Mus musculus: one gene and its partners. The protein of the gene in region 5 interacts with the protein of the main gene of each other region in a pairwise test. Links are inferred from orthologs where the notes say so. Each region holds a gene or a part of one and is shown on either strand. Other genes may lie near its edges.

Region 1 (4,200 bases), on a different chromosome or scaffold from region 5:
GAATTATCTAGAACAAGTTTACTCTGTGACACTAGACTCGGGTCAGATATGATGTAACTGTGGACACAAGCATGTCCTACATTTGATGAGGCACTGCAGAGCAGCAAGCCAGCACAACCTAGCAACAGGTGAGACAGTTCTCACTGCCTGAAACTCACTACCCACAACACCCACCAGCTCTGCCTCCCCTGTGCCTGTTCTTTCCAAAAACCTCAATGTTGACCAGCCACTGATGCAGAGTTGAGCTGCAACAAACCCAAGTGTAGAGTAGAGCAAGTAGGACTCATGACCTCCTGAAAGCCTCTTGAGTATGAGGCAACGGAATCTGACCTAATTAACCTGCTCATTCCTAAGACTCCAGGAAGAAAAGACAACTCTCTAGTCACCAAACAAAACCCCTCAGCACACAACACTAACACCAAATTACTGTTTCTAAAAAGGACATTCAAACATTTAGTCCCATCTCATAGAACTGACTTTACAGCTGAGAGATGCATCAAGGCACTCATTACTGACTTGCTAACTGATATCTGCAGACACACCACAAGAGCGTAAGTGCAGATTCCTTGAGCACCAAGGAGACGCCCATCATGAACCAGTAAAGTGGGCTGTCAGCAGGAATCTAAGCAACCCCTGCTCCACATGCCTGCCTCTCACCTTGGGCTTTGCTGGCTATACTGCCTTCTCCTTCCTATACCACTTAACTCCAAAAGAGGAGGCTCTAGCATACCAATCTAAATGTGATACTAAGGACACAGTAGGTATTTCAAGCTCTGAAAGTCTCATCTGCCTGGGAAGAGGAGCCTCAGGATTCAATTTTCAATCCTTTCTCCCCTGAAACAAAGTTTAGTTACAGCTCACAGATGTTCTGGAGAAAGCCTGTATAAATTTTTCCCATGAAATGAGTTCTATTTATCCACAAGATTTCCCTAGGAAATTGGAAGTCCACAAGACATAAACCAGGGATAAGATAAAAAAACCCTGAGATCCACTCCTCACAGATCCACAGCAGACAAGGACAAGTTTAAGACAGAATGGGACACTCAACACAGCTCAACTGCTTCATAGCCCCCTGTCAAAAACATTTAAGTGCTTTCCTAAATCTAGGCAGTTTCCCAAAGAGGTATGACAGTGGAGTGGTGTGGTCACATGGCTTTGGTGGATCCCCATTTTTTCCCCTAAATTGAATTCCTGAGAATTTTACCAGTGCTCAGAAAACATCAGAACCATCACTTCCCAAGTGGTTACACAAAGCAGCCAGCAAGCTAATACACTAACAAGACAGTCCTGCAGACATTTAAAGGCAGAAACCTTCCTTGATTTCAGTTTGATGGGCATACCTGTGGAAGTGCAGTATTGAGCTGCCTCTGCAAAGAATCTCTTTCATGACCAACTTCATGCAACTTCCCCTGGGTTAATGCCAGTGTTTCTTGTGTCTCTCTTAGTGTGTCCAGAAGGCGGTCCCGTTCTTCCAACATGGAAACCATGAGCTGCTCAAAATGCGAATCAGCATCTGGCTGTGAAGGGGAGCCTGACCCATGGCTCCCACCTCCTCCTGGAGGGCCTTCTGCTTCACTAATGGTCGGCATCACCTCGCACATCATCTTGAAAAAGGAACGGTACAGACCACAATCAGTAGGTGCAGAACAAGAGTTTCCACAAACCTGCAGCTTTCTGAGCACCACCTGTGGCTAATGAGAAAAAGGCTGACAGCCCCAGAGCTATCCGTGACGATCATCCACTCTGGATGCACACACTCTGGGAAGTAGCATGCACAGGTCAATATAATGAGCAGATTGGGGGAGACAGTCCTGGGAGCAAGAGGAGCTGGGATGCTCACCTCCAACCAGTGGGGGTCTGTTTAAAATCCACATTTAACAGCTGAAGACAGTTTCCTCAGGAAGAGAGATTCCAAACAGTCCCTCAACCACAGAAGAAGACTGGAAACTGACAAAACACCAGCACTATGGACCCAAGCATCCTCCAGGAATGTGTGCAGTCAGCTCCTGGGAAGGACTAGCAGGCACCCTGACTTGTGGGGCTGGATATTTGGTGATCAGCGGAAAAAGCAACTGGATTGGCTTTTTAAAGTCTGGACAGAAGTGTTTAGCAAAGGCCTGCTGCTGTGTAACGGTTGGTCAGCCAACCCAACTTACATAAGTTCACAGTCAAAGACAGGGGAAAAGAACAGAAAGAGAAAATATACCCACACTGGGAATCTAGGAAGTCGGGACAACAGGGCTAGGTTAAAAAAAAAAAAAAAAGGAGGAGGAGGAGGAAAAGGTGAGATGGAACTAGAGATTGCATGCTGTCAGGGCACAGGGTGGAGGATGAAGCAGAAGGCGCTGCAGGTGCATCTGAGCAGCACCCGCTGCCCCGGCCTGGCTCAGCTGACCCCACAGCCTCACTGCCCCCAACCTCACTTACTCTGGCCAGTCTAAGCGAACTCGGACCTAACTGCTATCAACCCGTTTTGCCAGGCTAGCCGCAACTCTGCTGGCTCTGCTGACCCCCGCACACTGACCCTGCCGACCCGGCCCCACCGACCCTGGCCCGCCACCCAGCGCGGCCCGCTCCACCCGCCCTCACCTTGGCCGGCGGGCGCGGCTCCGGGGCTATGAAGCGGCCTTCGGGCGGCGGCCGGCTGCGGGCCGACCCACGCAGCCCCGCGGCTGCGTCCTCGCCCGGCCCCCGGGCCCGCCGCCCCGCTCGTCACGAAGGCCGGCCCGCCGCCGCGGGACACTAGCGAGCGCAGAGAACCGGGCCCGGCGCGTCGCCGGCGTCAACGTGCCCGACGTCCGGCGCGTCGGCGCGAGCGTCAGCACCGCCCCCCGCGGGAGAGGTTGGCCGCGGGGCCGTGCGCATGCGCTAGATCCGCGGTAGTGGGCGGGCGGTCTATCGGGAGATCCAATTGGCTAGTCCTCGCTTTAGCCCCGCCCCCGGCAGGCCAACCCCCTGCGGAGACAGGGCGACCGTGGAAACACCGGTAAAGATCTCTGGCAGGTGTGCGCAGCTCGCAGTCCTGCTTCCGTGCTCTCACGCCAGTGTGTGTGTGTTGACGTCACCCAAACGCCGACGTCACCTGAGCACTCGCCCCCCCCCTCAAAACCCAAGACCTCTGGGGAGTCCCGCCGGACCACCTGCAAAACCGGAAAGTGCTGACAGGTCGGGCAAGGTACCTTCTACCTCTATGCCTACCCTTCAGAAGTCTGAGGCAGGAGAATTACAGCAAGGTGGAGACTCTGCCTGTAAAATACAAACAAAGGCTACTGCCATCAACCCTGACGACTGAGTTCGAACCCTAGGACCCAGAAGACCTGCAGTAGATCCTCGGAACCTACATAGTCCTGAATGTTGTCCTCTGACCTGCACACATGTATCGTGTGGGTGCATACATGTGCTCACATTCACACGCGCACACACAACAACAACAAAATGTAAGGGCTCAGTCACTCTTGCAAGTATTAGAACCTAAGTTCCATTTCCCAGACTCCACGTAAAAATAAAAAGCTAGCTGGCCTTGGTGCTACACGCCTTTATTCCCAGCACCCAGGCAGATCTCTGGGTTCAAGCTAGCCTTGTCTACATAGTGAGTTTCAGGACAGCCAGGAGTACATACTGAGACCTTGTTTTAAAACTTTTTTTTTTAATTAACGCCAATAAAATAGTCCAGAAACCAAAGCAAAATGATCATCAACCATAACTGAAAAGCCAATAAAACTTTCCAAAGGCCAAGGCAAGAATACTGTCGACTAGTATAGGCTACATAGAGAGCCAGGACAGTCAGGGTTACATGGGCAGATTCCTGTTTCAAGAAGTCAGTAATTAATTACAAAGTCAAGTTACAAGTATAACCAAGCACAATAGTGCCCACCTGAAATCCTAGCACTCAGAAAGCAGAGGCAGGCAGGCAGATCTCTGAGTTTTGCCCGATCTATATAATGAGACCTTTTTCCACAAAACAAGTCAGAATGTAAATAGAAGCAGCAAAGTCTTTAAGGACTATCAGCCACTGCACACAAGTTCTCAGTTGCCTTGATCTCAGGTTTGGATTTGAGGAAATGCTCAAGCCAGACGTGGTGGCGCACGCCTTTAATCTCAGCACTGGGGAGGCAGAGGCAGGCGGATTTCTGTGTTCGAGGCCAGCCTGGTCTTCAAAGTGAGTTCCAGGACAGCCAAGGCTATATAGAGAAACCCTGT
Region 2 (4,295 bases), on a different chromosome or scaffold from region 5:
AGTCTTTCTTAAGGAATGAAGAGGAAAATCTCGCCAGAACAACATTCCTGTAGGGACAGGGTTTGATGGTTGTGTGCCTTCTATCCCAGCACTCTGGAGGCAGAGCCAGCCTAATCTACATAGTGTGCTAGGCAAAGCTGGGGCTGCACAGTGAGACTCTGTACAAACAACAAACCAACCTCACAATGGGGAGGCTTTCTTGACCTTCACAAGACCATGTTCCCAGGAACAGGTGCATGTTACACTGATCTGAAAAGGAGCATCTTAGGACCCACAAGAATGATGGAGAGTGGCACGCCTAAGGCATCGTTAGCACTGAAAAAAGAAATTAGGGTGAAGTATTCCTTCCTCCAAATTACCCGAGATCTCAGAGAAATAAAAGTATCTCTGAGGATTTGTAGCTTCTTCCTAGCAATTTCTCCTGTTTTAAGCCATAGTAATCTGAGTACACTATTTTAAGGCCACAACTGGTGCTTTTTTTGGATAAGGCAAACTTTCAACTGCTTTCCACTTTAGTTCGGGTGACACTCCGGATCTGTGTGAAGGAGTTAACTTCAGGAGGTTTCTACCAAATCACTACTGCCAAACCTGAGTAATTACTCCCCTCCCCCCCTCAGTTGTCACAGTTCTTCTCCCGTCCTCTGTAGATGCTATCAGTTATAACATCCCCTCCCCCCCTCAGTTGTCACAGTTCTTCTCCCGTCCTCTGTAGATGCTATCAGTTATAACATCCCAAACATCTGCGCCGACCTTTCTGCCCTCTGAGAGTTTCCCTAAGTGAGGTACCCAAATATATTAAAAGTTTAACCCAAGAAACAGTAGTTACGGCTGTGTTAACAAGCTGACGCCGGCAAGCTGGCCACCAAGTGCAATGCCTGATCTTAGGTATTTATCCTGGGCTCTATGAACCTTTAAGAAATTCTATGCAAAACTGTGGCAACTTTTCTCAGGGGAGGCGGCTTCCACTGGCCAGCCCGGGACTCTGGAGTGTGAAGTGGGGTTGGTGACTGCCCTTTTAGGAGTTCATAGCCAGGCCCCTGGAAGGCCAGGGCTCCAAGATTGAGGAGCAGCTCTCACTCAGTAGCGTTCTCTCGGCTTTAACTTCCCGACGGACCATGAGTCTCCCTCCGAGCATCACCGAGGGCAGAGCCAAGGAGAGTTGGCCCGCATCCGAAACCCTCGGGTGGGAAGATGATGACCCGTGCCCAGAATTAGTAGTCCTCGGCACCCGGTGTTCGCCAAAGCCACCTCCACACTCCGGAACTGGAGTGCACTCAACTGAGGAGACGCGACGCAGACAAAAGAGGAGGGGCTGCCGACCGCACCCTCTTCGTCTTTCCCCGCCTCCTTTGTTCCTTCCTAAGCTATTATTGGCTGATGGTCCTCGGACCCGCGACCTTTTTTGATATTCTATTGGCTGAAGTCGCTGTCACTCTATAGGCGGCTCATTCGTGATTGGTCAAGGTGCCTCCCGGGTTTGAATCGTCTCCCCGGCTTTGGGAGGGTTCTGCCAAAGTGCCACGTTGGGCCGGGCAGCAGGCGTGAGGAGCCGGCTCCCGGCGCCACCCGGGGCGCGCTCGCTAGGGCGCCGGCCTTTGGGCGGCGCGGGATAGCGGCGAGAGCTGCTGCGGGACCTGCGTGTCCCGCCCCAGGGTGGCTCTGGCTGAGGGCGGCGGGGCCGGGGGAGAGCCCGGGGCAGCGGCCGAAACGGCAGGGCGGCGGCAGAGCCCGCTGCCCCCGGACGTCCCCGGCGACATGCTGGCAGATAACCTAGTGGAGGAGTTCGAGATGGAGGATGAGCCGTGGTACGACCACCGGGACCTCCAGCAAGGTGAGGGCGAGGTCGCCGGTCGGGAGGGGGGGGCGGGATTGTTGGGGTGGGAGTCCGGGGGTGGCAGGTGTGGAAAGTGCTAGAAAGTTCCTTAGGCTGGAGGTTTGGGATGCCGCGGCCCGGTGCTTCTTGCCCTCACCTGGCAACGGATCCGCCCATCCCGACCGCAGAGAGCAAGCGCGCGCGGCCCACGGCCCTGCGGGTGCGCCACACAGGCTGATGCTCGGTGCTTTAAGAAAGCGCTTGCCGGGTATGAGCGGATGGACCTCTGAGGTGGGCAGGAGTGGACCAGCTTGTCCTGCTCTAGAGGCGAGCTGCTGGCCTGGGTCCGGGTCGTGCTGCCCTGCCTGCCCCACATCGCCTTTCATGGTCCGCAGAGTCTGCAAAGCCGCTGCAGGTGGTGGGAGGGCAGTGCTGCTGTGCGGTACCCGCGCCATCTCTCTGTGAGAGTAAATTTTTTTTTTTTTGTCCCGTTTTCCAGAAAGCAGAGGCTAAAAGATTTAGGTGGATTCCCTAAAGCCGAGTATGAGGAGCCTGTAGACACTGTTCAGTTTCTTAGCATCCCAGTTTACAGCTTACTCAGTTGGGTATTAAACTGTTTTGTTTTGTGTTTTAATTTATTACTTAGCCATCGTTCATCGGGGGCTAAATGAAATTATTCGAGGGCAGCTCTTATCATGCGCTTATCTTTCTTTCGGGTTTTCAATTAAAAATAATCCTGCCTTGGTTTTCTTGCATCGGGGCATCTCCAGAGACAATCTCAAGAGTGCCCCCAGTCTGAAGCCAGTGGCCCATTTTCTTGTACATTCATAGCAGGATTTTGTGTTTGGGGACACTGATAGGCCGGCCCTCAACACCCTGGTAGGCTCCTTTAATTCTCCCAATAGCATAAGGTGCTGCAGTAGGTACCTCTGGCTGAAGAAGATACTGTTGGGGAGACTAGGTATTCACGGCAGACCCCAGAGTAGACATTGTTAACCACCATGCTGAGGGATCCGCAGGAATCCTTTGTGCTATTCTGTATAATGATCTCCACTCCAAACTTTTTGGGAAAATTAATATCTCTTTTGAGTTGGCTACTAAACACCGCCTCTTGTTCACAATTCAACTGAATCTGATGGGGGAAAAATTCGGGCTTGAATGATCCATACTTAGAAAAAGAAAACAGGTAGCTCTTTGGAGAGATGCTAATTTGTTTTTTGTTTTTTTGTTTTTTTTTTTGTTTTTGTTTTTTTGGTTTTTTTAATCCTGTCTGTCTTGATTTCTTAATGTGAAATGACCTAAGCCCACATAGATCCCTGTACTGCTATAATTGAAGCTGACTAGCAGTTACAATGCCGATTTGCCATCACATTTCTCCATGTCCACAAGACAAATTTGTTAGACATTTAGCCTACTTGAGATTTGCCCCATAAGGATTGATGACCTACTTTGATACTTGAGGACTGAAGCAACCATCGTGCGATTGCTTCTATGAAAGCAATTCATATAATCCAAGCAAGAGTTTTTTCTTTGCCATATTTAAGAAGAATCCAAAACCTTCAAGGACTGGCCAGTCTCCCATGTCTAACATCATATATAACACATCATAATAGAAACTTAATTTAGTATTTGTTGACCTGAACTGAGGCTCTCACACAAGATTAACGTTTTCAGCTCTCCTCAATCCAGAGCCCTAGTCTACCCAACAGCCAAACCCCCGTCTCCAGGAGGTTATCAGGAACCAGCAGTTGTACTATCTCGGTCTACTGAGTGGTAAACAAAATACGTTTGGTGCTATGTGTGGCACTCTTAACTTCTGATCCAGATGAAGGTGTCACATCTTCAAGTCTAACAAACCCTAACCTCTGGGCTAATTTACTGTTGATTTCCATTTGGAACTTCTTCTCTACTTTCCAGAGGCTTTCATAGCTGTTATCACAGTGGACTTTGCCATGGCTTCTGCATCATAAGTAGCCATATAAAGTACAAATGGAAGATATGAAATCCTGCTAGCTCATTAATATGCCCATGAAAGAATGATGGCTGCTCTTTTGAGCATCTTTTCCCCATTTTGTTGACTTACATGTTAAATGGTTTGGTGTGCTGGGATTGACCCTAGGCCCTCCGTGCGTGCCACGTAAGCAGTGTACCCCAGAGCCAGCCTAGAAGAACTACCTTTGAACAGAGTTTACAGTTGTTTCTCAAGAACATACTGGCTTTTTTCTAACCTAGGTATTAATGTAGGCAGTGGCACCACTTGTAGCCAGCTATTAGGGAGGCAGGACTCCCACTCAATGGGATGCTGTTCATGAATCTACTCATAGAGACATCTGGAGATGCGAGTAAATAAATGGGACACCTTCAGCACTTGCTGCTAAGGAGTTTGCGAACAGCTCTGTCTCTGTGTAGATTAAGGAACTCTAGTCGGATTTTATCATGTGTTCTTTATGATCTTCTTTATTAACTTATGTAGATTTGTATT
Region 3 (4,046 bases), on a different chromosome or scaffold from region 5:
AAAATTTTTTTTTAAGTGTAACCTAGTAACTACCAAACAATTTACCAATGGGCAAAATCTTAATTTTTGATACCTTTAAAGTTAAAGAGTGTTTCATTCATGTTCACACTGCAACGATGTTCTTTTTTTTATTTTTTTTCATCTCTGAGATGGAAGTATCTCTTTCTTGCTATTTTTAAATCTCAACCACAATTCCTACATGAGTTTAGGCTGATACAATGTCAGTACAGTAGAGTTCAATCCTGCACATCAAAAGTTCCATGAACACAGGTCCAAAAAGTATCCCTGATGCTGTGTCTCCAGTGCTCTGCACATGCTCAGAAAATATAGGAATTGAGAAAGAATGGACATTTGCTAAATGTTTTTTGAAGTGAACGAATGAATGAGTGAATGAGTGAATACCTTGTTTATAATGTTTCAAAGTTCATTGCACTTCATAGTGCTTAATCTGACTGTGAATGCAGGAAAAATCACTCCTTGTCCAAGTTCGTGTGCTTTCTTGCATCATGTCCTTAGATGGAACTTACATCTCTGCCCAGGTAGCCAACAGTCCTCTCCTCTATGCTAAAGGGAGGAAAAGACAGCCACCCTCCCTCTGTTATAAGACCCTCCTGAGATCATGCACTCTGGAGCCCAGCTATGCTAGAAAGAAAGACCAGTAGCCCAGGCCATTTCTGAGCTGCCACCACAGCCAGACATGGGTTGGTTTGGGAATTCCATCATATATTAGGGAGGCCAGGATTCACCAAGGGCAGGGCCAAAGGTAAAAGAGAAAATAAGAAACACTGGTAACACAAGCTTTAAACAGATTTTTCCAAAACTCAGCACACTGGGGTGGGTTCTCAGGCCCCTGAGTCTATTCCTTCTCTGTGCCAATCTATGCAATGACACATGTTTGAGCAAAGTATAGCCTCCTGGGTACAGGTAAGCACAGCCCAGTCCTTAGCTCCAAGGAGGCTTCCAGGCTAAGGCACCACTCCACTTGGACTGTACTATTGGGCTCCAAAATGGGGGGGAGCTTCCAGACAAGGACTGATTTCCATTTCAAACTGCATTCTGGTACTTTGTACTCCAGCACCATTGGCCGATCAATATTTAATGCTTGGAGATTCTCACTCTGCGGGAGTCATGTCAGGGGACCCTGAGAGCCAATCTGCTTGAGCTTCTGCGTGATAATTATTCATGGGCTCCTGCCTCTTGCTCTTTCTCTAGCACGGTCCCACTCTGCAGACTCAGTGCCTTACTCAGACTCCTCTCTCGCTCTCTCCGCGGCTACAGCTGGACCCTTCTCCTTTGCCTTCGCCACCACTCCGTGCGTGCACATCCCTACAATGGCTAAAACAGCAATGGGTAAGAATCGCGTTTTGCTCCCCACGGGCTCTATCTGGAGCCAATCTCTCCCTTTCTCTCTCGGATCTCTAAAGACATTAAAAGATATTTTATAAAGGGAAAGACATTCATGACAGGAACCGGGAAAGGTTGGAGGGAGCTCTAAGAGACCAAAGGGGGAAGGGTGTCTTTGAAAAACTAAAGTAAATGGTTTCTTTTTAAAAGATAGAAGCAGGTAAGTTTTCCTCCAATGGGTAGGAATTTTATTCTGCTTCCATATTTAAAACTAAAGTGTCCATCAGAGGGGAGGGGGCTACCTTAACGATTTGCCTTTAGTGAGGTGAAGGGACATTTCGGAAAGTGGTTTTGAACGTCCTATATTTATTCTGTAGTTTAAAAAGATAATAGGGACAGGAAGGGAGTGATGTTGGAATAAAAGAGAAAATGCAAAGTCAAAGCGGTCCCATCCTGGAGGTTTGAGAGAGGAGTGGGAACGGGGGAGGGGAGTGGGCACATTTAATGGTATTGTCTATCTTGGAAAAACCACTAGTCTTGGGGCGCGGTGCGGGGAGGTAAGGCGGCCGGAGGGGTGGGGTAGGACCTTAGCTCCTTTGTTTTAGGAAGAGGGAGGGGAAACAGGAGGAGGGCGTGGAGGGCGCGGGTGGGCAGCTGCAGGGGCGGGAGAGCGTGCGCGGCAGGGAGGGGTAAAGGGACCTGGCTTCCCAAGGCGCCGGGGTGGGGTTTCTTTGTGTGTGAAGCAATGGTGGGAGTGTGGGGGGGGGCACCTGCAGCGCTGGGCATACTATGCGGACAGCCCCACCCTGTGCAGAGTCAAGCTGTCCCCACCCGGACCCAGCTCCACACCCTCAGTAGAATGGGGGCCTAATGGGGAGCTCAGCACAACACTGAAAAACCCAACCCTGCGGGAACGGCAGAGCCCCGCCACGCCCCACTCACTCATTAGCAGCCTGCGTGCCTGACCTGACCGCTAACCTCAGCCGCTCCACCCTGGCCTCATTGTTCTTCGTTAACATATTTTTCAGAACCACATTAAATAGGATATTTAAACATAGTGGCAAAAAAAAAATCAAAAAAGGGAAAGAAGCAGGGGGTGGGGGAGCTATTCTGAACTCCTTGGGTCATTTCGGGGGGAGGGGAGGGGGCAATTAGGGAACCTAGAAGGGTATACAGAAAATAATACAGATAAAGATGTGTAAGGGTGACATAAAGCAAAAGAGGTCAAGGTCTTTAAGATGAGCCTCGTGCAATTTCAATTTTGTGGGTCAGACGGAGCCAAATCTGTAAAACCGCAATAGAGTCCAGTCTAGATCCAGTGCCATCGTTCCGAAAAGGTCCTGTGCTTGTTTCCCTAGGGTAGACAGCCTGGGAGGGGCCTGCACTGGGGAAGCGGCTAGAACCACACACACACACACACACACACACACACACACACACACACACACACTAGATCGAGCTACTGATGCAGAGCAGGAAAAAGGATATGGACTGGCTCCACCCTGCCCTGCCCCACCCTGTCTGCGGAGCCCTGAAGACTCAGGCTCCAGGCTGGCTCCCACGAACTTGGGTGGGGCTGCTGAACAGTCTGCAGTCCGGGCACCCCTCTTTCTAGCCCCGCCTTCCAGAACAGCCCCAAACCCCTCAGGGTGTGCACACATCTGCCCAGGCTCAGGGTCGCAGGACTAAGCCCCTCCCAGCGGATAGAGGCTGTGCAGAAAGGCGAGCCAAGCCTGGCCGCACAAAGACGCAGCCGCGCCCTGCTGGGCCCCTGGACCACAGAGGTGACCCCCTTCCCTGTGGTTCGGGAAGGTGTCCTTGCCCATGCAGAATCCAAGGACCTTTTTCCCAAGCCCAAGCCCATGGCCTTGTGTTCTGGGATAGAGACCCCACTGAGGGTCCTCCAATGGGGCGTGGCTCGACCCCACCCCTCGTTGCTACAACCAAAGCCAGTGAGCTTGGGGAGCAAGCACGTGGCGATCGCGCGTGGACCCGGGCCAGCCCTGCAGCTCTCGCCTTCCTCTCGGAACTGGGCTCTCGCCCCCACAGAGTATCCCAGGAGAGGGTTCTGCGCAGTGTCCTGAGCTACTCTCGGTTGCCACAATTTGCTATCAAGTCGCTTGTCCAGAAGGGTTCTGATGGGGTTTGGGGAGATTTTCCTGCTCTGTCTGTCCCACGGAGAGGTTTCAGCTGCAGACGACTGGCTAGTTACTCCTTGTGACCAGAATTGTGATTCCTTAGAAATCATCATGATTATTAGTCCAAGACTCACTTATCTCCTCTTAAGTCTCATTTGTTCAAAAAGTATGCTGGTCCCTTTTGGTACCGATTAACCCCTTGCCACTAATCTTCCTGATCATCTTTGCCAACCTCCATCCTCTTCCCATACACAACCACAAAACAATTCTATCTGCTTCTGTCCATTTCAGTTTCTATAAAGCAGATGCATTTTGACTTCCCGTTGCTGTGTTGTATGTTCTTGTGGGTGGGATGTGTGCGCTGGTACTTGCTAAGGACAGCCTATGCACCAGATGATCGCTGGGAAATTCTCCACAGAGAATTGTTTTTGTTTCAATGGGCAAAAATTATATATAACTGAGATGTTATGCCCCTCCACAAGAGGATACAACACATACATACATACATACATACATACATACATACATACATACATACATACGTTTATGCACGCATTTTTTATT
Region 4 (4,208 bases), on a different chromosome or scaffold from region 5:
CCACCACACCAGGCACCTCCTGCTGTGCTATCATTGTTTGCCAAAGTGCAGAATTAAAAAAAGTCAACATGGCAAGGACTTAAAAGTGAGACTTCACAAGGTTAAAAAAATTTACTCCAACTTTTATGTCCACCTGACATTACCTCGGCTCCCCAGGCCTCCTTCAAACCTCTCAGCAGCCACCCAGTTCCATCTATACCCTAGCATCCCACAAGGTCCCACCACTGACAGGTCTCATGGCTGAACACACCTGACCAGCAACTCCTCAAATCACCAACTTCAAGTCCTGTCCCTGTCTACAAGACTTTTAGCTCTGCAGAGAAACATCCCAGCTTCCTCCTACGACCTCCCTTTTTGCCATAATGGGGAAAACTGCCAGCTTCTGTGTCACCTTCCACTGTGGCATCTGCCAATAGCTTCTGCAGACCACCCCCAACCATCACCGCTAAGCCTGGACACCTCTTAGGATGTTAGTTTACAGGAATTCTACTCAAGGTTTGCTGACAGCAGAGACTGCTCTCGGAAGCTGAAGATCTCGGGAAACCTCTGCAAGGTGGGACATGACTACACTCACACCCCACTACCCCTGGAGCAATGTTTTGGTTTAACCCTGGGTCATCATCAGGCTTTTATTGAAACGGGTTGGGTGAGTTTAGCTGCTTCTCTTTTGCCCCTAACACTTTTACCTTAATGGCAGTGATGGCGAAGGCTATTTTCCGCCGCCCATCGATGTTGGTGTTGAGTACTCGCAAAATGTGCTGGAACTTCTCAGGGATCACTAGAGACTGAAAGAACACGGGCAGTTATCAAGACAGGTTACCCCCAAACCGGGAAGGTGGCCGAGGCAGGGTTGGATTGTCTGCTAAGTTCTTACACAACTCCTCAGTCACCGGGGCTCACCCCTAACGCGCTCAGGCGCGGGAAATCGCAACCTCTGACAAGAGGGTGGACGTCGGCCGCGGCCCCCAATTCCCTGGACAGGGGAAGCGGGAGGAGCCCACACACAGCCAAGCTCCTGGCAGCTTTGCTGTGTAAGAGGAGCGAGCATTCCTCGGGGCCCCGATCCCCGGGATTTCACGTCTTAGGTCGTCCCCTCTCGGGTCACACTCCATCGCTCCACAGAGGGCTGTGGGCCCGCAGCATGGGGCACTCTCTGAGTCCTGACGGAAATCTCTCCCTGCCCCGGCTCCGATGTCGCAGGATCCCGGCGCGGATTCCGCTCTTACCATGGCGGCGGCACAGACGGCGGCGTGTAGGCCTCCTGTGGAAGAGAGAGCGGAAGTGACGTATAAGTCTTATATAGATTCCTGGCGGAAGAGGCGGGGCTATCCCCGGAGGTCCACTTCCGGAAATTGCTTCTCTCCCCGTCTCCCCCTAAGGGAGGAGTTGTATTGAGACAGTTTTGGAAGGGACCGGAGCTATAACTTCCGGTTCGGCCTTCTCTGTCGTCGTACCGTTCTTGTGTGGGCGCGGAGCGAAGGTTCCGGAACAGAGTTGTGTTCGAGACGTTCACCTTCCTGTTTGCACTTGACCGAAATGATCAAAGCCTAACCGGAGAGGCTGGAGCCGATCGCCTTAGCTCAAATATCTGGGACCCTTTTTTGCTCCATAGAAGACATTCCAGGACTTGTAGCTTTGCTTCGGGAAACGGACTTTCTGAGACTGACAGCTGCCGGAAGTCGGAAGTGAAGCTGCGGGGGAATGGCAGCCGCAGCGACCATGGCGGCCGCTGCCCGGGAGCTGGTGTTGCGGGCTGGGGCCTCAGATGTAGAGGAGGAGGAGGGCCCGCTGGTGAGAGCACGGGGCTGTAGGTCCTCCGGAGTATCGTCAGGTTGTCCCTCTCCTCAGGCGTAGGCTCCATTTAGACAAGAGGTTCGGAGCCGTCTTGCCACGGGTGATGGTGACCTAGCCTTCGTAGGGACCAAAGTGGCTGAAACCCAAGCCCCAGGGACAGTGTCAGCTTCCTGTTCACGATTTTTAGTAGAAAAAAATTTTAGTGTTTAGCGTAAAAGGTTAAGAACGTGGCCTCTGGAACCAATTTGCCCGGGGTCCCACCTCCAGCCCCACCGCTTGAAAGCTATGCTGTGTTTTCGGTGCCAAAACTTCCCACACCTTTACAGTGCAAACGCTGTTAGGACATACCTTATAGGTGGTCGTTAGGATTAGCCGAATGAGCATGTTAAATGGTGTACCAGACACAGGGGTAAACACTATGTAAGCTGGCGATTTTAGCCTCTGGAATTCCCTCAGGGATCACCTGGAATAGCTGGAAACTGAGGTCCTAAATTCAAAGGCAAGTTTGACTAGTCCTAGTTTTTTCTCATTTGAACAACTCCAGCAACTCCATGAATTGCCTGATATTCTCAGTAGCCCAAGATTGTAGATTTGAACGCATCAGAATCTTTGACCCACTTACTCCGGCACCCCCCACCCCCCAAAGCACCCCCCACCTCACTTGGAGGATTAAGGATACCCGATTATGTTTTGTTTCCAACATCTCTTTCTGTATCCCACATTCATTAACCTGTCCCTCTTCAGGGGGGGGGTTCTGGACTCCAAGAACCCCTACAACTTGGAGAGTTGGACATCACCTCTGATGAATTCATCTTGGATGAAGTGGATGGTAAGTGCTGACATGGGGTGGGAGCAAAGTAGACCCCTTTATTCTTTAGAAATATATTACATGACCCCAGTAGATTACCCTCTATGGTTTCTTTCTTTTGTATGTGTGTGTGTTTTTATTTTTAATTTATTTTTATTTTTTTGGTTTTTTTTCGAGACAGGGTTTCTCTGTAGCTTTGGCTGTCCTGGAACTCACTCTGTAGACCAGGCTGGCCTCGGACTCAGAAATCCGCCTGCCTCTGCCTCCCAAGTGCTGGGATTAAAGGCGTGCACCACCACCCCCCGGCTGGCTTTTTTCTTAATGTACAGATAAAGTTTAATCCATGAGTTGAGAAGGCTTAACTTCTAATTTAGGAATAGTAAGAAATGAACAGTACGAGTCGAATAGTCACAGCAATACACTATAATAAAATCGCAGCATCACTTTTTCCCCTTTGGGACTATTGTTGAGTAAGAATACAGCCTGGTTGAACATACATACGCAGACAGCTAAGACTGAGTGACTGGGAGGCAGGCACAGCACACACCATAGATTAACGGAGCAAAGATGTTTCAGATCCAAGCCCAGGCGAGAGGTTCTCTAGCTTCTCAGAATGCCACACATTTTAGATCTTACAAGCCACACTTTGGAAATCCCCTTTTAATATTTTCCATCTGTGGTCGAGTAGACCATGAGGAGCAGAAACAGCAGGAAGTCCCACCGGGCAAAGCAGCTGTGCCTATAACTGGAGAGGGTGGGGGCTGGGAGGGAAGGGGAGATTGGTGTGGTGTGCGTGTGCCCAGTGTGGGCAGAGGGAGGTCTGGCAGGGGACACTAAATATAAGCTTGTTTCCAGTTCACATCCAGGCAAACCTGGAGGATGAGTTAGTGAAGGAAGCTCTCAAAACGGTGAGGCTCTCCACTGGGTTGATCTCCCCACCCTCCCTTCCTTTTGGGGTCCCCTCAGCTTAGTGGCTCCCCTCTAGCCAGTCACGGAGTCTGTACTGGTTGTCCTTCCCCCCAGGGTGTGGATCTTCGACACTATTCAAAGCAGGTGGAGCTGGAGCTGCAGCAGATTGAGCAGAAGTCAATCCGGGACTGTATCCTCCAGCCTCACAGGCACAGGGCCAAGATGGCTGCTATTGGCATGGGCTCTTGGGGGCCTGTGATGCAGGTAGCCCTCAAGGGGATGTCTTCTCTCTCAGGCTTCTGTCACTTTGGGGAGGACCTGGGGGCAGGTACTGCAGATCGGCAGAGCTCTGTGTTCAGTGTGAAGCCCTTGACTTTTGTGGGTCAGATATCCAAGAGAGTGAAAACATAGCGTCTCTGCACAATCAGATCACGGCCTGTGACGCCGTCCTGGAGGTGGGTGGCCCTCACCTGTTGCCCCAAATCTGACTTAATTGCCTCTTCCTCCTCTTCCTCCTCCTCCTCCTCCTCTCCTTCTTCTTCTATCAGTATTTTTTGTCCCCCTTGGACAAGTGATGATCTCCCATCCTCCTGGGTTGCTGGGTACCAGGGATTTGCACAGAGACTTGGTTGACACACCTGTCCTTGTTCCCCGACAACCCGGAGTCATGCCCACAATGTTTCCTGCCCTCCCCACA
Region 5 (2,744 bases):
GCCTGAGGGATTCCCTCCCACACAGGCACACCTCCACTTCTGCCCCACAAAGACTCTGCCAGGGACACCATTCCCAGGTTAAGAGAAGCAATGGAACCTCCAGGGCAGCGAGGGAGGGACGAGAGCCCAAATCGCCCAAGTTCTGCTCACAAAAAGGAGGAGTCCAGGCCTGGGTGCTTTCACTTGTCATGAGCTCTGAAAAGGCCAAGAGGGGTCTGAGCCTTAGAGCTGGGTAGGAAAATATTGGAGTCATCTGACCTGCCAGCTTACTGTGACGGCAGCTTCAGATGACATCTTCTATGACTCTTCCGTTTTCAGAGTCTCCAACTTCATCTGCACACTGTCCGAGGTGAAAGCCCACAGTGCACCTACAGGTGTTGACTATAGAACCGCATGAGGGTCTGCACGCCTGCCCATCCATGTAAGACTAACCCACAAAATTCACAATTGCCAAGTGTCCGACGGCCTCAGCCCTGGGCTGCTCCGTGTGGAAGCCTTGCATGGACGAGGCCTGACTGGGCTGCTGCTCCTGTCCCAGCATGCCCAAGCACCGTGATCTCTAGGCAGTGGCAGGGGTGGGCTCTCCAGGCCCTGTCTGGCCTGCTGTTCCTGTGCTCGGGGCTCCCGAGCAGCAAGGAGCGTCTGTGGCCCTTGGAGAGCTGGCTGGTTGAGCCCCAGGACTTTCAACCCCTTGTTCCTTGGAGGCAGTGGTGGCCTCTGGCCTCCGCTCAGAGCCAATGTCAGTGATGCCCCCTGCAGTCAGGTCCTGTACCCTCTTGTTGAGGTCATTGCGCTCGGTCTGCAGTGCTCGGCACAGCTTCTCCAGCCGCTGGATTTTCACCTGCAGGCCCTCCAGCTCTTTGTCCCGGACGGTTTTCTAGGTAGAGAAATGAAGCATTCAGTGAGACGTTCACATCCTCAAGTCTGGGCAGCTTAAACCCAAAAGCTGGCCCATGTAGTAAACAGCCCCAGCCGAGGGCCAGAGGATGTATTCTACTTGTCTGCCAGATACCCTGACACACCACAGGCATCTTTAAACTGTCGATTGTTAAACAGGACCACGGACCACTCTCAGATCTCAAAAAAATGTGCAGACATAAAAAAGGTCCCCAAAAGGGCTCACTTGGATAAGTGCTCCTGGAAACGCAGCCCCAGTTCCCGTGTAGTGTCAGTGACTGAGTGACAGCAGGGGAAAAGGCCCACAGACCAGTCCGCGGCCCTCCACCCACCTCTTCAGCCATCTCCAGCAGAGCCTTGTTGCTGCTTTCCCACCGGGATCGATACATGGTGGTTTCTTTCTCCAGCTTCTTGATCTTCTTTGTCATCTGTTACACCACAGATGAAAAGAAAGGGTCAGAGATGGGCTATCTGCACGTCTCTGCCAACTGGGAGCCTCAAGTTAAGCTGACCACTGAGGGGCTGACAAGACTGCTTAGGAAATAAGGAGGTACTTGCTGCCGAGGCTAACGATGAGCTCCATGCCCCAAACCCACAGATTCAACTCCTGTAAATGGTACTTGGATAATTGCCATATGCATAGCCCATACACATACATATCTATTCACAATATTGTTTAAAAATATGCTGGGTGCCTTTATCCCAGCACTCTCGAGGTAGAGGCAGGGTGGGTATTTATGAGTTCAAGACCAGCCTGGTCTACACTGAGAGTTCCTGGGAAACCAGGATTACATAGAGAGACTACATCTCTAAAGAAATAAAATAAAATTAAAAAAAAAAAAAAAGCTACCATTGAAGCCTAGTAGAATGCATATTCTCTATTTAAAATTCCAGCATAAATAAAGAAATCAAACCAAACAATAATAGAAAAACAAACAGAAACTGTCCCCTCTGGCAGGAGAGGGAGCTATGGCCCCTTCTAACTACCTCTTGATATATAGAGTGCCTGTGAGGCTGCCAGGGCAGCTCAGGTCTGAAGGAAGCGGCCAGAACGCCCACCGTCCTGGCCAGGCTGAGGGCCTCCCTGTGTTACCTTTTCCATCTCCTGTTTGAACGTGGTGAACACTTCACTGCTTTTGGAAAGTGTGTTCTGGAACTCCTCAAACTTCTCCGTGTACAGGGCGAGCTGCGTAAGAAGCACAGGAGCACGATGAGGAGGAACGCGGACAGAGCCACTCTACTGAGACACCATCTCCTAATACCACACAAGCAAAGTCGTGCACAGCAAGGATGTGTTCCAACACGACAATCCTGCAAAGTCAGCCTTGGGAAGACGTCAGCATGTGGAGACACTGGTCTCATACAAAAACAAAACAAAACAAAACAAAACAAAACGAAGCATACACTGATAGGGCTGAAGGGACGGCCAGAGGTTAAGATCACTGGCTGATCTTCCAGAGGACCTGGGTTCAATTCCCAGCACCTACATGGAGACCACAACTGTCTGGAACTATTCTAACCTCTAAAGGTACCAGGAACACAAGTGGGGAAAAATATACATCCATGCAAAACACTCATATGCATATCAATACAGCAAAATAAAAGTAGACAGAATTGAGCTAGACCTGGTAGCTAACGCCTCATGCATCTGGGAGTCAGAGGACTGTCACAAGTTCAAGGCCACCAGAGAGCCTGGTCTACAAGGTAAGTTCTGGGTTAGTTGTAGCCACAGCTAAACTCAGAGACCTGTTCTTCAAAGAACAACAAAAATGCCTGGCATGATGGCACATGCCTACATTTAATCCCATTACTTAGGAGGCTAAGACAGGCAAATCTCTGTGTTCCAG
Region 6 (3,500 bases), on a different chromosome or scaffold from region 5:
AAACAAGAATAGCATTTTGTTTAATTTGAAGCAAAATTCAAGATTTGGGAATTTACTTCAAGTCTGACTATATCCTAAAAGAGCACTGGTTCTTCTAATACTCAAATCAGCATTCAAGGTACAGACCATATCCTTAAAATCACTTGCAAGTTGTTTCAGAAATCTGGCTCTATTCTTTTTAGTTTAGTTATACATGTGTATGTATGTGCCTCCCTTCAAATGATGAGACATCAGTACAGTTATAATACCACTGTAGAAATGCATATATACATGGGGTTGTATAAAAACCACATGTTCATACTGCCTGAGATCAAACGCATTCATCTACTAAGCTATGGTTCTTATTCAAGTCAAGTTCAAGACGAACTGTTTTAAGGCCAGCAGACATGGGTCTGCCTTTGTCTTCTACCTTCAGTTGGGCGACCTTGTCTGCTTCTCCTCTCTCCCAAGCTGGCCAGAAGCCCTTAGCACTCTGAAGTACAATTACCTTGTTTGAGCAGTTTCCATTCTCTTCACAGAGGGACTGGCTGGACTTGAGCTCTGTCAGCTCCTGCTGGCAGAGCAGGAAGTCCTGCTCCAGCTGGTCATACATGTGCTTCTGGCGCTCCAGCTCATCCCTGCTGAACTGATACAATCCCTTCATCTCCTGAAGCTGGAGGTGTATCCCTGAATTCTGGGTAAGGAAGGCAGAGCCATCATGCCATGTACAACTACCGCCTCACTATTGATCTTTCCGCCCTTACCTTTCCGACCCTGACTTCATCCCAGCCAGGGAGAACCAAACAGACCTATCCTTAACAGGCTTGACACCCTGACCTTGGGAGACTTCCTCCTGAAGGAAGCAACAGGATTCCTGTCTGTAGACTGATTTTCTGGTTTAAAATAAAAGGAAACTGTGGCTATCTCACAAGCAGCTCTTTCTACATGCCCTGGGTCCACTTCACCAGCAACTCCTCCACAGAACTCCAACAGTCCCACTCTGCTTACCCTCACAGAAGATCCTGCCTGGCTATGTGCTCCTGGCCTGGCCTTCCTTTTACCTTCTCATTTTTCTCTCGCAAGCAGTCCACCATGCTTCGGAGCCGATGCACCTCTGACTCGTGGCACCGCAGCTTGTCGTGCAGGTGATGCTGGACTTCTAGAAGCTGCTCTTTCTCATTCACACTGCACTGGTGCTGGGCCTGCAGCTTCTGGAGCCGGCACATCAACTCCTGCACGCAGGGGGCTTTGGGTAGTGGTGCTGGGTTTTATGACCTTGCTCTTCTCCTGACTCAGCCACTGACCACCTGAGAGTCTTCCTCCTCCCTTCCACTTGCTGCTTTACCCCTCCCCTGCCCCCCTCCTTACGCAGAACTTTAAGAAGACAGTTATTCTTTTGACTTGCTTGTTTGTAAACAAATGTAATCTAATCTCATGAAACTCAGTCTATGTAGCTGGCACTGGCCTTGAACTCCTGATTCCTCTGCTTCTAGCTTCTCAGTTCTGTCATAACAGATATGTTCTACAACACTAGGCTCATAAACAGTTGTCTCCTTTTGTTCTGTTTCAGCGCTAGAGACTGAACCTGGGACCTCATGATGCTAGGCAGGCAGGCAGTCTACCAAAAGCTGTATCCCTAGCTCTGGAGCTCCTGTTATTTACAGCCCCTCAACCTCAGTGCGGTGCTAGTGGCCCCTCCGCTGTCCCTTTGCCTTTGGCACGGTTACCTTCTCACTCTGGCTCTCTACAGGAGTGCATCTGAGGAGTCTGAGCTGCTGGAGCTCAGTCTCGAGCTGCATCTGCACCTTCAGAAGCTCACTGTGCTCGTCCTGGCTAGCGTCATACTTCTGCTGCAGGGTACAGAGCCTGCTCTTCAGCTCCTCATGCTGCAGTAGGGAGGATGCGGGTAGAGCAGTTACTCTCAAGAAGCCGTGGGCCCTATCCAGGCCTCTGTGATACTTCTCTGATGCAGAGACCTTGAGAAGAAGCTCTCTGGGTCTATGGCTGGGTTTCTTCAGTGATGAAGACACTCAACAAGGACACCTTTTTACATGCCATCCTATGTGGCTTCTATATGCAGGGGCTCTGGGTGATGCTGTTGGGTCCTGGTCACAGGGTAAGAGCCAGCAGAGGTCAGCCTCACTCCTGATGTCCACCTGGAGGCGGTGACTCTGAGCCTTGCTGCCCTCCCTTCCCCTGGCAGTGCTCACCTGGGTGCTGTGGGAGGTCTGAAACCGGAGCACCTCATTCTGGGCACACTTGAGCTCCCTCTGCAGCCGCTTCTGCTCCTCCTCACTGGTTCTGCGGTGATGCTGTAGCTCTTCCAATTCACAATACAAGTTCTTACACTGTGTGGGAAATGCAATGGGCTGATTTGTAGTAGATGAGACACACACACACACACACACACACACACACACACACCATGACCTGGGAAAATATGTCATTCATTTAATTAGAATATAGTCAGGTGTCATATAACAACGTAGACACATGCTGAGAAATGTGTCATTACACTACTGAATTATCGTGTGACCATCATAGAGTACACTTACACAAACTTAGATAAGCACAGCACGTGTGTTTGTGACTGTGTTTTATTGCTCTTGGGATGCTAATATATACCCTGACAGTGAACTAAGCGCAAATGAAAATGGTGCCATTAATAGCGGCAGCAGATACGAGATGTCTGAAGATGCTGTCAGTATAATATGGTGTCCTGGCCTTTTTGTTTGTTTTTGTTGTTGTTTTCTGAGACAGGGTTTCTCTGTGTAGTCCTGGACATCCTGAAACTTCATCAGGCTGGCCTCAAACTCAGAGATCTGCTTGTCTCTGCCTCTCAAGTGCTGAAATTAAAGGTGTGAGCCACCATCGCCGTTCTGGTATCCTGTTCTATAATGAACACTTTTTCTTTGTTTTTAAGGATGAAGGCTTTTAAAATAACAGTAAAACACAATGTGGTAGAAACATAAACTATTAGCACTCTCTTCACGTCACGTTACTATGTAACAATGATATGTGTCATACTTGCACACAGCTGGCAGCTTCACACACAGTAGGCCTATGTACACTAGCACCACACACATGTTCAATAATATGCTGCACTACAACATCAGAAGGGATAAGAGTTTTCAGCATCCACATAACTGTATGGGACAAAATATCTGGTCCATTTTCTGACTGAAATGTCATCCCCTGACAGATGACTATACTTCTATCAGTCAGGCAAGACCCCAGAGCACCATACCCTCCTACAGTGCAGGGCTCCTCTGTTAGCTCTTTCCCTACTACAGGCCAGGGAAAAGTGAGACTGATGGTAGCAGCAGCCTGCCACTCCACTCTCTGTCGCCTACCTTGTCCTGCATGTCCTGCATCTGTTCCTCAGCTCCCAGCAGCTGCTGGCGCAAAAGCTGCATCACAGGGTCAGGCTCTGGGAAATCCAGTTCTGACGTCTGAGACTCGGAGGACATCGTACTCCGTAGCAGGTGAGATTCCAACCATCGCTCTGTTGCTCTCCGTGT
Region 7 (3,980 bases), on a different chromosome or scaffold from region 5:
AGAGCCCTTGATTTCCATAATTCTTCCTTTCTTTAGTTCTGCTACAAATAGTAACTGCTGTTGCATCAAAGAATGCAAAGTATATAAATTAACTTGAAGAAAGGTAACTGGAGGAGCCTACAATAAAACCCAAAACAAAACAAAACAAAACACTCCATACCCCCAAATAAAAACCAGGGCTGCTGGTCAACTGTGACACTCTGGAGAATTAAGCCCACCCAGAACAAGGCAGAGAAAACTCTGCACCCCTCCCCCTCCCAGTGCAGACTCTTCCTGCCCATGGTCTGTGTCACCCACTCCCAAAAGCAAAGCCCTGTGTACCCAACCCCCACCCTCAGCTTTGAGGCTAAAAGACCCTCTCAATATTGGAGGTCTTTGAATAGGGCAACTCCACCCTGCAAGCTCATCTTCTAACAGCTGTCCTGAGGTGGCAGGCAACCTGCACATCCATCCAGCAATGGTCCTCCTCCCACTGAAAAGGAAGATTTTTTTCCCACAGCCAAGCACCTTTCATTCCTTCCTAACTGGCTGTCATTGTTTCCTTTGCTATATACTCTACATTACTTATTTACTATCTTAAAATACAAGCTCAGTGACATCCTTCTGAACAGAAGGCACTTGGTGACTGAAGCCTTATGCTATTCATTTGGCCTTCATTTTCCTTGGGATGAAGACTTCCCTGACTTTCTAAGACTGGGCTAAATGTTCCTCTAGCCAACAATATCAAATAGTATTACAACTGTATTTTACACATAAGTGTTTGTTTGGTTGGTTTTGTTTTGTTTTGTTTCCGAGACAGGGTTTCTCTGTGTAGCCCTGGCCTGGCTGTCGTGGAACTCACTTTGTAGACCAGACTGGCCTCGAACTCAGAAATCTGCCTGCCTCTGCCTCTCAAGTGCTGGGACTAAAGGCGTGTGCCACCACCGCCTGGCCACATAAGTGTTCTAATAAGATGAGGGGTATCTTTCTCACTCTTCTGTAGAGGGATTTTAATTCGGCAACATAGCTACTCTGGTTAGAACACAGATACACCCTTAGTACACACCTTTAATCCCAAACAATGAAGGCAAAGTTTGTAGAAGGAAGCAGCTTTGTTTGAAAGTGAAGTCTAACAGAGAGGGAAACAAAGTGATGAATCAGAAAAAGATTCAGTAGACTAGGATCTACCCAACTCTCATGAGAGAGGAGAGAGAGGCAACATAGGAGGGAGCAGACAGAGGGAGAGAGGAAAAGAGACAGTGTTACCGGGAGAGTTTTACAGAGACAGGGTGAAGAGAGAACAAGCTAGACATGACAGGCTGAGCCAGAGAATAAGGAGGAGCCAGAAGAGTAGAACACATTGCTAAAGTTAGTTTGAAGCCAAGCAGAGCAATTCAGTCAGAAGCAAGAGACGCCAGTTTGAATCAGTCAGAGGAGTTTGGGCCAAAACAGCTGAGTTGAACCAGAGAGCAAGAATTCAGAAAGAGCTAGAAAGAGTGAGCTTATTCAGCAGGAAGTCTCAAAAGCTGGAAACACTATAGGCCTTTACAGAAGCTAGAAGCTTGCAGGATTGGGCCTAGATTAGCTGATGGAGGCAGTAAGCCTCCAGACAGCAATTACAGCAGGAGAATAAAAGTTATTGTTACACTTTTCTCATGTTAAAAGCCTCATTAATTTTTATGGTTTTGGATTTTTCAATGAGTGTATTGTTTGCATGTATGCCTGTGCCCCAGGTTTATGCCTGGTGTCTACTGAGGTTAGAAGTCATCAGATCCTCTGGAACTAAAGTTATGAATGGCTGTGAGCTGCCAAGTTGGGGCTGAGAATCGAACTTAAGTACTGTATAAGAACAATTCTTAACTACTGCACCATCTCTTTAGTTCCAGATTAATATTTTATGACTATGTTTACTTTGTAAAACAAAGGATTAAAATCGAATCCGATTACCAGTCTATTAAAAACCTTCCAAAAACACCTTTAGAGAAATGACCATATCGTTCAAAGATAACACATTTAGGAGGTTTTTATAGGCTTCTTTTCATACAGAACCTTCCAAACCTAAGGACATTTGAAGTTCTTTTCAGTCTCAGACACAAGAGACTTGCTTTCAAAGATCCCCTTCGGATGCTATCTGACTGAGCAAAGACAGCACAAAACAGATCCCTGTAAGGGCAAAGGTGCAATGGCAACGCTTAGGGATTCCTAATCCATTCAGCACGGGCCTATGTGCAAGAGGACAGCAGAAGCAGCGGCGTCGGTTTTTTGTTTTGCTTTTTTGTTTCTTTTCTTTTTTTTTTTTTTCCAGTTTGCCTGTCTTAAGGCTGCTCCTTGGCCTTCCAAACAATGATCCCCAAATCCTTGCCTCAGTCACCCAACCAAAGGTGTTGAGCACCTGCACTATTTCTCTCCCGGCAAGCCACGACGGAAAGGAAGCAATCCCAGATGGCGTCGGCACCAGAGTTTCCGAGGGGAAAAAAAAAATTTTTTTTCACTGAACGGGTCACAACCAAGCCTACCACGCTTACCAGATGGACGCTCCCAGTTAACCACGGCCTCCAGAACCGTTGGTTCGCGGGCAAAGACAAGTGTCGCGGTGGCATCTGGGAATTGTAGTTTCTGTCGCAAACAGAGCGCGTAGTTAGCATTACAACTACATTTCCCAAAAGCCAACGCAAAGCCCTGCCTGCTTGGCTGTCACTCATAATTCTATCCCATTTCTACTTGGAATACTATAGAGCACCTTTATTTGTTCGGCTTTTCTTGTTCGATAAACATCTCCGGGCATCTGTACTCCTTACTTTTCTTTCCCCTTCTTCAAACCAGCGCCTCCAAACGTCGAGAAAGGACAACACCGCGGAAAGCGCATGCGCCCTGGCCGGCGTCGCGCATGCGCAGCAGCCGGTCTTAGTCAGTGGCGCGCTGGACTCGGGGTCCGGAGGTACTCTGCCCGAGGGCGGGGCTGCTTCCAATGGCTGTCTTTGCGGGTCGCGTGTGCCTGGGCGGAGAGGCAGGCATGGGGCAGGGGCGGCTCCCGGCGGTCCCGGGCGGGGACAGGGGAGGGGCTGGGGGTGAGGACCCCGTCTCCCCTCCCTGCTCCCGCCCTCTGGGCCGATCCCCACCGACGGGGCTGGGCGAAGGGGCGGGCTCTGTGCCTGGGGCCCTTTGCTTCAGCCGTGCAGCCCTGGGCTCGATGACTGCTGGATTGCGGGGTGCCCTCTGGCTTGGCGGAGGTGGGCGAGGACAGAGGAGTAAGAGGAGCATCGGCGTACCCCGGGGGACAAGAACCGGCAGGGTTGGGGACGCCGCCCTTAGTCGCCGCTGACACTGTGATTGGCGGACACTGCTCCCCCGGAGCACCGGAGCCTCGGGCCCCAGCAGCTAAGGGCCAGGGTCTACCGCCTACCCCGCCAGCACCCGCCCGCTGCCCTGCCGCGGCGCTAGGAGGAGCCGAGGGGGGCGGAGACTGGTGTCGGAGGAGGGCGGGGTGGGAACGGTCGAGAACCAGCCGCTGCACAGACAAAAAATCGAATGGCTGGAGAACCTTCTACTGTTTACCAGCCTTTTGGGACCAAGCACGGATTTGACAGCTCCACAACGTGAGGATATCCGCTGACCCTGCGACACAGAGAACACTTCCCCGGGACTCTGTGTCCAGCTAACCAGCTCTGTGAGATTGCAACTTTCCAAGTTTGTTCTTTTCAATCTCTGTCAGAAGACTGCCCTCGTGTAGGAGAGGGTGCCTGGGTGATCCGCCTTGTGGATCGATTTGAAAGCATCAACTTTAAAAAGCACGTGTGATTCCCAGTGCCATCCAGACGCCTGCTTTCACGACGGCTGGATTTCTCTGACTTTATTCTTAGCGTTTCTCGTTGTTTTTGTTTTTTGTTTAAAAAACAAACAAACGACGGGCTGCTTTGGGGGAATGCTGAAAGGTAACTGACTAAACGCTGAAAAAGAAAAAGCTCTTGATTGTCATGGCTGAAGGAGAGAATGAAGCGAGA

What was found.
Region 1: the proteins of Txlna (region 5) and Ppfia1 interact in binary tests that used the Homo sapiens proteins (3 or more experiments, as listed by UniProt). The link is inferred for Mus musculus from reciprocal best matches to the Homo sapiens genes TXLNA and PPFIA1.
Region 2: the proteins of Txlna (region 5) and Cdr2 interact in binary tests that used the Homo sapiens proteins (3 or more experiments, as listed by UniProt). The two-hybrid records come from large-scale screens. The link is inferred for Mus musculus from reciprocal best matches to the Homo sapiens genes TXLNA and CDR2.
Region 3: the proteins of Txlna (region 5) and Stmn2 interact in binary tests that used the Homo sapiens proteins (3 or more experiments, as listed by UniProt). The two-hybrid records come from large-scale screens. The link is inferred for Mus musculus from reciprocal best matches to the Homo sapiens genes TXLNA and STMN2.
Region 4: the proteins of Txlna (region 5) and Vps52 interact in binary tests that used the Homo sapiens proteins (3 or more experiments, as listed by UniProt). The two-hybrid records come from large-scale screens. The link is inferred for Mus musculus from reciprocal best matches to the Homo sapiens genes TXLNA and VPS52.
Region 6: the proteins of Txlna (region 5) and Ccdc136 interact in binary tests that used the Homo sapiens proteins (3 or more experiments, as listed by UniProt). The two-hybrid records come from large-scale screens. The link is inferred for Mus musculus from reciprocal best matches to the Homo sapiens genes TXLNA and CCDC136.
Region 7: the proteins of Txlna (region 5) and Cep57l1 interact in binary tests that used the Homo sapiens proteins (3 or more experiments, as listed by UniProt). The two-hybrid records come from large-scale screens. The link is inferred for Mus musculus from reciprocal best matches to the Homo sapiens genes TXLNA and CEP57L1.

What each region holds. Positions count from the first base shown.
Region 1 is NC_000073.6:144,550,930-144,555,129, forward strand, and holds the start of Ppfia1 (liprin-alpha-1), read right to left. Parts: upstream 2,801-4,200; 5' UTR 2,590-2,800; intron 2,091-2,589; exon of another isoform or gene 1,869-2,090; intron 1,605-1,868; coding exon 1,341-1,604; intron 1-1,340. UniProt on the Homo sapiens protein: May regulate the disassembly of focal adhesions. May localize receptor-like tyrosine phosphatases type 2A at specific sites on the plasma membrane, possibly regulating their interaction with the extracellular environment and their association with substrates.
Region 2 is NC_000073.6:120,979,513-120,983,807, reverse strand, and holds the start of Cdr2 (cerebellar degeneration-related protein 2), read left to right. Parts: upstream 1-1,495; 5' UTR 1,496-1,755; coding exon 1,756-1,831; intron 1,832-4,295.
Region 3 is NC_000069.6:8,508,281-8,512,326, forward strand, and holds the start of Stmn2 (stathmin-2), read left to right. Parts: upstream 1-1,246; 5' UTR 1,247-1,331; coding exon 1,332-1,350; intron 1,351-4,046. UniProt on the Homo sapiens protein: Regulator of microtubule stability. When phosphorylated by MAPK8, stabilizes microtubules and consequently controls neurite length in cortical neurons.
Region 4 is NC_000083.6:33,954,392-33,958,599, forward strand, and holds the start of Vps52 (vacuolar protein sorting-associated protein 52 homolog), read left to right. Parts: upstream 1-1,408; 5' UTR 1,409-1,701; coding exon 1,702-1,791; exon of another isoform or gene 1,792-2,293; intron 2,294-2,538; coding exon 2,539-2,623; intron 2,624-3,457; coding exon 3,458-3,510; intron 3,511-3,625; coding exon 3,626-3,701; intron 3,702-3,898; coding exon 3,899-3,966; intron 3,967-4,208. Other genes in the region: Rps18 (40S ribosomal protein S18), read right to left, coding at 687-785, 1,227-1,229. UniProt on the Homo sapiens protein: Acts as a component of the GARP complex that is involved in retrograde transport from early and late endosomes to the trans-Golgi network (TGN).
Region 5 is NC_000070.6:129,628,322-129,631,065, forward strand, and holds part of Txlna (alpha-taxilin), read right to left. Parts: intron 2,084-2,744; coding exon 1,991-2,083; intron 1,326-1,990; coding exon 1,230-1,325; intron 878-1,229; coding exon 560-877; 3' UTR 1-559. UniProt on the Homo sapiens protein: May be involved in intracellular vesicle traffic and potentially in calcium-dependent exocytosis in neuroendocrine cells.
Region 6 is NC_000072.6:29,410,075-29,413,574, reverse strand, and holds part of Ccdc136 (coiled-coil domain-containing protein 136), read right to left. Parts: coding exon 3,333-3,500; intron 2,328-3,332; coding exon 2,190-2,327; intron 1,866-2,189; coding exon 1,707-1,865; intron 1,212-1,706; coding exon 1,041-1,211; intron 674-1,040; coding exon 488-673; intron 1-487. UniProt on the Homo sapiens protein: May play a role in acrosome formation in spermatogenesis and in fertilization.
Region 7 is NC_000076.6:41,807,069-41,811,048, forward strand, and holds the start of Cep57l1 (centrosomal protein CEP57L1), read right to left. Parts: upstream 2,801-3,980; 5' UTR 2,720-2,800; intron 2,596-2,719; 5' UTR 2,580-2,595; coding exon 2,505-2,579; intron 1-2,504. Other genes in the region: Sesn1 (sestrin-1), read left to right, coding at 3,954-3,980. UniProt on the Homo sapiens protein: Centrosomal protein which may be required for microtubule attachment to centrosomes.